2 linked regions of the Daphnia pulex genome follow. The protein of the gene in region 2 purifies or fractionates together with the protein of the main gene of each other region. This does not show direct contact. Links are inferred from orthologs where the notes say so. Each region holds a gene or a part of one and is shown on either strand. Other genes may lie near its edges.

Region 1 (3,479 bases), about 580 kb from region 2:
CACTAACTTCAACTTGACATTTATAAAATAAATGAAAATTGAATGAGCACCACCTAGCGACCAGTTTTAAAGTTAATCGAAATAAAATTAAAAAAAGGGAAAAAAATCTTGAATTTTGTTATAAATATGATGATTCCGTGATTCGGGTTGGCGTTATCTCAGAAGCATCAGCATTTGACAAAATCAATATTCCCTTTACTTAACAAATATAACCCGGTCAGCTCAGCTGTGACATTGTAATCTCATGAGAAGGAATTGAAGGAATTGTTTGTTGAAGTATTTTACTTAGATAAAAATAGTAAGAACTCGACAACTTGCTTATTGATTGATAAGAAAACGAATAATATAAAAAATTACTAAGTTGTACTGGCCGAGTGAAAAGTGGTCTAAATCAGAACAAAAAATGCAGTATCACACAAAATCCAATTTGCCAAGGCCAATTGAAATCAGTTGGCTACAGCAATAATAATTTAACTCAATATAAGTACTTAAAATAAAAACTCAATGAAAGTAAACAAGAAGTTATCATTGTATATCATCTCGCCATTTCATACGCCACTACACGCTCCGAAAATCATCAAGTATTTTTTAATCGGACGTATTTTACAGCTGTGAAGAACCAGCATTCTCTTTGCTTGTTTGAAGTTGTTGTATTTATTTATTATCTAGAATTTTTGAGAAGATGGTGAAGCAGGATGGAGAAAATGGTACTGGTCGTCGTGAAAAGAGTGGGGCCATATTTTGCCTGATTTCACGGAGAAGCTAATGTATTACTGTTTTCACTGCTTCCTCCTTTTGTATCTGAATGGTCTTTCATGTACTTTTCAACCTATAACAAGAAAATAAAATCTTAGCTTATTTGATGTATAGTAGTGATTAATCCAGACACTCACAATTTTTCTAACATGGTTCACAGCCTTTTCCATATTGCCCTGGACATTTTCTGGATGATACGGGGGACTAATTGTCACTTGATCCATGACTCGAATGTTTTTGCCTTCCCATGCAACATCCTCAATCCTGTAGTTAATTTTTATAAACAATAGATTATGTTGTTTCTCTGATTCCCTGCTGTTATCCTCACGTTCGTTTGACAGCATTAAACAGCTTGAGCCCTTCAGGAGAAACACCAGACTCCAGGGCAGTTATCATGTGTTGTTTTCTTTCTACTTCCATACGCACCCTTTTCTTCAGCTACCAATCGAGGATAAAAGATGTATATAGCATGATTGATAAAAGTAAATAGTATTTAAAACTTACTCTTTCGACATTCTGAACTGGATGGGGAGGTGGAGAAGAAGTTGCCTCTCTCTTTACTTGAACATCACTCACTTGCCCAAGATTTACAACATGTGCATCGTTGACAGAGGGTCTTCCACACGAAGAAGGTGATTCTGAAAAGAGCAGAGGTCTATTATTAGACTGAATTCAAATATCCCTAACAACAAGAAGGAAGAAAATGAGTTGCACAGTTTGAAAAACGAGTTTATAGTTAAACAAACAGCGTGTGCCAAGGAAAAAAAAAGTATGAGCGTGACAAGTAGCCGACAAGAGCGTGAGTTATCGGTTAAGTTAAAAGAGCCGGTAAACTTACTGAGAATCAGCATTTTGGTAGGTTGATCAAAGGCGAGGACTTCGCCTTCGATCACTTGATTATGGCATGTTTTGCACGAAACTAGACTTCCGACCGAAAAGTACTCATTGCCATCCGACGCCATATTTTGGCTCCAGAAGAAACAGAAAAAATTCTCCAAAAAACGGGGCGAGACACAACAACACTCCGATCAGACAACGCTGGTAACATCAAGTAAAAAGTAGGCGGAGTCTAGCAGACATGCCGGCCGCACGGGCACCCATAAACCCATTCCCCTACCTTCTCTTTATTCCAAAATCCGCGTTATCCCCTGCGTTTGACAGACAGAAGTGACGTTGTCGTTCATTTTTTTGTAAATTTCGTGCGGGAATTATAATTATTATTTTTTTTATTTTTAGCTAAAGTTTCGTCGTTTATTATTCCATATTTTTTTGTGGTAGTGGATAAATAACCTACTCAAATATTTCGCATTTACTGGTGAATGTCTGTGGAACTAAACAAGCAGATGCTGATGCAGCTGTTACCTAAGTTTACGATGCAGTTGGCATTCACAACACTTCAAGTCAACTTAAACTATGCGGCAATTTTATTGATGTTCTGTAAAGGGGTCACATGTGTGTTTGTCAAAAACATGACGCATACAGATGTTGAAGACCACTACGTTTTCTACCAGCTACACACTTAATAATAAATTCATCTGTTTTTAATATCACAGATACCAGATATTCCAAAATATGCTTATACTTGCATTAATGGACAATTCTTAACTATCTTTTACTTGCATTAATGGACAATCCTTAATTATCTTTTTCATAGCTGAAAAATATTGCTGACTAACTGACCAAAAGACGTTCGAAATAAAACATTGACAAGAGGATTTAACGCGAGAAGTATCATATTGGCTTTAAACGCTCTAAATAAATAGAGCAATTAAGACGAGAAACACTAGAAAGCAAGCAACAAGCACCTGCCACTAGATAAAAGGGGTACATGTTTTTCTTGGTTAACAAGGAATGATAATTTTCAATTAATATTCATCGCCACCTTCTCCCTCGCCTTCGACGGAATCCATACCGACCTGTTTTACAAACAATAAATTATAAAATCATCTAGGGGGGTAAATCGTAATCAAAATTGTTACCTCCTCGTAATCCTTCTCGAGAGCGGCCAAATCTTCACGAGCCTCAGAGAACTCTCCCTCCTCCATACCCTCACCAACGTACCAATGGACGAACGCACGCTTGGCGTACATCAGATCAAACTTGTGATCCAAACGAGCCCAGGCCTCGGCGATGGCAGTCGTGTTGGACAACATGCAAACGGCACGGGAAACCTTGGCCAAATCACCACCAGGAACGACAGTTGGGGGCTGGTAATTGATACCGACCTAACGAGGAGAAAGAAATCAATGAGAACCAGCCTGTGGGCAATTGCTATAAAAATACTACCTTGAAACCAGTTGGGCACCAGTCAACGAATTGAATGGAACGCTTGGTCTTGATGGTGGCAATAGCAGCATTGACATCCTTGGGGACGACATCACCACGGTACAACATGCAGCAAGCCATGTACTTTCCGTGACGGGGATCGCATTTGACCATCTGGTTGGCCGGCTCGAAGCAAGCGTTGGTGATGTCTCCAACGGAATTCTGCTCATGATAAGCTTTTTCGGCGGAGATGACGGGGGCGTAGGTAACAAGTGGGAAATGGATACGAGGGTACGGGACCAAATTGGTCTGGAATTCAGTCAAATCAACGTTCAAAGCGCCATCGAAACGAAGAGAAGCTGTGATGGAAGAAACGATCTGGCCAATCAGACGGTTCAAGTTGGTGTAGCTGGGTCGCTCAATGTCCAGGTTGCGACGACAAATATCATAAATAGCTT
Region 2 (3,758 bases):
TATTGGGCGCCGGAGCTGGGTTTCCTGCAGTAGGAGAAGGAGTTGCTTTCTTCTCATCCCCAGCGGCGTTTTCAGCCAGGCGAAAATCTTGACTAAACTTCTTCAGATCCGAGTTTTGATCGTCTCTGGTTTTGCCTGGTTTTAGATAGAAACTTTTAGAGTTTTGTTTCACTTCGGAATGCACAAGATTGTGCTTACCAGCATAGTTCTTCCGCTGTTCCTTCGGACCATGATCGCGTTGTGGCAACGAGGAAATAGGGGCGTGTGAATGAGATGGAGCGTGACCGCTTTTCGAATCGTAAGCCGAATCGCGGTTGACTTTGCGCTCATCGCCGTTCGCAACGCGAGAATCTGATTGTTGAGCAGAATTTTTATTGTTATTATAACCACCAGGCGGTCCTTGGGAACGACCATAGTAGGGACCGGAAGACGAGCCCCGCCCTTGCGAAGATCCTTGGAATGGCTGATGCTGTGGCCCGCCTTGGTGATAACTTCCACCTCCGTGGTGTACTGGACCCGAGTTGTTCGGGTGCGACTGCGAAGTGTGACCAACACCCCTACCGTCACCATCGTAGTTGTTGCCACCGTGGTAAGATCCACCTCCACCACCACCTCCTCCGCCTACCGACTGATGTCTCGGAGCTAGGTTGGGGTGAGCGTGTCCTCCGTGAGCACCGTGGGGAGGGGGCGTCGAGCGCATCATCTTGCCCATGTTTTGGTTGATGGCGCTTTTAATAGGCCGCTTATTTGGATGAACATATTTGGCTGCATGAAAAAAAAAATCGAAACTTTAATAAGGCAGTTCGTTTGCATGAAAGACAGAATTTGTTTACGTACAGCTGTGGGCACTACCTCCGCCGGCATTAGCAGAAGTTGTGCTACCTCCTCCGCTGCCACCCATTGTGCTCCCGCCTCGGTCAGACGAACGATTACTAAAGTCTCGGAAGTCTCGGGGCTCACGGCGTTCACGAGACTCATGGCTAGGTCTTACCACGGCCGAAAACTTTTCTTCTTCGTCACTGGCGTTTTCAAGGTCCGCATGCGCTTTAGAGACAGCGTTTCCTTCGATACTATTAGCCAGGATAGATGCTTGAGCTTCTCTTTCCCTAAAAAAAATATTAGCTTAATTAACGATTACACGATTGTCGAGGATAAAAATCCAATTTTACTTGAATTCGGCAGAGTCCCTCCTTTCTAGTTTACACGTATACTGTGACAAATCCTCCACAAAACTAGTTTGAACTCCATATACTTTTTCATTTCTGGCAAACATTTCATTAGGATCCCATCCATTCTAAATTTTAAAAAAGAAACAGTAAATTTTATGCGTACAAAACAATAATAATTGCTTTAAATTACCGCATTATCCAGTGAAATGTTACAATCATCACCATCACCCTCCCAGGGTTCAAGCTCTTTTTCTCCACTGAGCCCATTAAAACGGCTTATGGAAGTATCAGTGGCAAAATCTGAAATAAGAATTTCAAACATTAGTGATGTGCGCATGAATTATGCAAAAGCAGTCATTATTTGAAGCAGTGTACCTTTAGTGGCATAGTCCAGTTCTACATCTTTGGAGCTCATCATCACAATCATTTGGGAACCAAAGACAACCTCCCTAGAAACTGATTTAACATCAATTTTATCAGGTTGGCTGGGGTCAACTGTATGAACCAGTTCTAAAACAACTTCTAACTGAGGAGAAAACGTGCTAAAAATTCCTTCAAATATTTTCCCATTCGAAAGTTGGATCTGAAACACAAAACAAGTTGAACCTAAAATTGTGGACTACAAGGTCATACAATTTACCATACCTGAACTGTATTCCCCATGAGGGAAGTAATTGTTTCACAAAATCTTAAATTCTGGTAAATGCCTTCATATGGGATATCTTTGTCCGATTTGTTTCTAGAAGGTGGTGTGTTGCGATTTGTTACAGCAACATTGCAGTTCCCCGATGTATTTTGAGGGGTGGAGGGTTTGCCCATCTTTGCTTTAGACTTATTCATTGTGTTTGCCCTCCAGAATTTCTACTTCCGATGAAAAGTAGACTCTTGAATACTCATACAATTAACAAAACCCCAATAACAGCCTGTAAGAAAAGACGGGTTCAACTCAAAACTTGTGTGGTGATTGATTACAGTAACTGATCATTACCTTGAAAATGTACAATTCCCTGGTTTCTAAAGAAATCGTTGACGGTCGAGTTCTGGGCTCACTCGGGGTAGAAAAGGAAACGAGAGTCTGCGATCTCGTGAGCCGGACGAGTAATTTGTGTGGGGCCGGTTTTTCACGCACGACGTTACCCTTTTGTCGTTCAAATCTGCGTGTAGAAAAGCGAGGCTTAATGTTCAACTTGCGGCCGATGAGTTCCGTAGGGGGTAGTGTTTGCTTTCTTTCCGTCACAGGAACGGGTAGAAATTTTAATTCGCCAAAGAAAACGTTCTTAGACCTGAGGACGTGAAAAATCCACCACCATCAAGAAGTCATTCTGTGTCTTGCCTATGTTCAGTGAATCTAATACATATGGCCACCACTGGGGAACCAAAAAGTGAGGTACCTCTGAATCTCAAGAGTTGGTATCCAAATCCGATTGGAGACTAGTTTTCTCAGCGGGCTAAAACTCTTTTCCAGTCACAAAATTCGAAATGATTCAATGCCCGTCGTTTCTCGCAGATGAATCGATGAAGATAATGTGGAATTGATGAAGGATCTATTTTAAGCGCGTAGCAAATGAGACGTTGCGAGGGTTTTCTCAACAAACTTGTACAATCGTCTCATAGGTGGCTTTTTAGTCAACTTTCCTAGGTCATCTAGCGGTAAAGATCTAAAGCTAATAAACGGGCATTGTGAAATATTGCTAAATTTCAAATTTTTTGTTTATTTTATACAAAATAACAAAAATAAACAACTCTACAACCAGCATTAATTATCACATAAAGCAAGACCAAACGAAACACAACAAGATCTAGTTGTAGGGAATGACAGGCCTATTTGTCCACTGTCCAACTACTTTCTGTATTATGGAATTTGGAACAAGGAAAGAAGTTAATTCAAAGGTATCTCAAAGATTGGAATTAAATTTAATTATTTAAAAAATTAGTAAAATTTTAATCACATAGTGCAAGCACAGCAGAGGTATACATACCAATAAAAATTGTCCATGGTTGTTGTCTTCCTTTGTGGTCATGATTCACATTCAGCACGACACATAAAATCCTTTAGTACCTGCAATAGAGAAAAGAAGTCCTACTCTTGCCTTGTAATGCAAATAAAAAACTGAGCAGTTCATCAATGAGCCAAACGAAAAACCAGAGATCATCGAACCATAGGTTGTGTTTTTGAAAACAAAAGAAGACGACGAGAACAGTGCTGCTAAACAACATCTCCACGATAAGTCGATAACCCGATGTTGCCTCGACATAACGATTAAACTTATTATGCTTTGTTGAAATTCATTTACAATAAATTATCTAAAGCTTTAGATATATTTTTAAGTAAAGCATTTTTGTGATTCGAATGGGGGTATTTTTTCAGCAGTTACACAGAACTTGTCGGTCGGCCGGTAGGACTAAACGAAAGGCACGTTTTAAGTCGTCTGCTGATGTTGACGATTGAAAATTGAATTCTAGTTGAGAAAAATTTCCAGCATCAAAATTGATGCATCGTTTTCTACTTGTTGGATATATTTTGAATCGTTAAGGTAAGTGTAACTGGGTTAGAGAAAATTGAAACATGGGTTAGATCGCATTGAGTTA

The links. Proteins that work in one complex are often made in the same cells at the same time.
Region 1: the proteins of ataxin-2-like (region 2) and protein LSM12 homolog A-like purify together in Homo sapiens (affinity purification with mass spectrometry; 4 studies listed by BioGRID and IntAct, with this or other methods). This does not show direct contact. The link is inferred for Daphnia pulex from reciprocal best matches to the Homo sapiens genes ATXN2L and LSM12.

What each region holds. Positions count from the first base shown.
Region 1 is NC_060021.1:9,119,767-9,123,245, forward strand, and holds protein LSM12 homolog A-like, read right to left. Parts: upstream 1,841-3,479; 5' UTR 1,719-1,840; coding exon 1,595-1,718; intron 1,395-1,594; coding exon 1,261-1,394; intron 1,195-1,260; coding exon 1,085-1,194; intron 1,021-1,084; coding exon 894-1,020; intron 830-893; coding exon 752-829; 3' UTR 512-751; downstream 1-511. Other genes in the region: tubulin alpha chain, testis-specific-like, read right to left, coding at 2,622-2,672, 2,736-2,981, 3,043-3,479. UniProt on the Homo sapiens protein: Nicotinic acid adenine dinucleotide phosphate (NAADP) binding protein. Confers NAADP sensitivity to the two pore channel complex (TPCs) by acting as TPC accessory protein necessary for NAADP-evoked Ca(2+) release.
Region 2 is NC_060021.1:9,703,495-9,707,252, reverse strand, and holds the start of ataxin-2-like, read right to left. Parts: upstream 2,775-3,758; 5' UTR 2,561-2,774; intron 2,503-2,560; exon of another isoform or gene 2,324-2,502; 5' UTR 2,158-2,323; intron 2,093-2,157; 5' UTR 2,010-2,092; coding exon 1,815-2,009; intron 1,753-1,814; coding exon 1,545-1,752; intron 1,470-1,544; coding exon 1,360-1,469; intron 1,295-1,359; coding exon 1,170-1,294; intron 1,107-1,169; coding exon 838-1,106; intron 766-837; coding exon 1-765. UniProt on the Homo sapiens protein: Involved in the regulation of stress granule and P-body formation.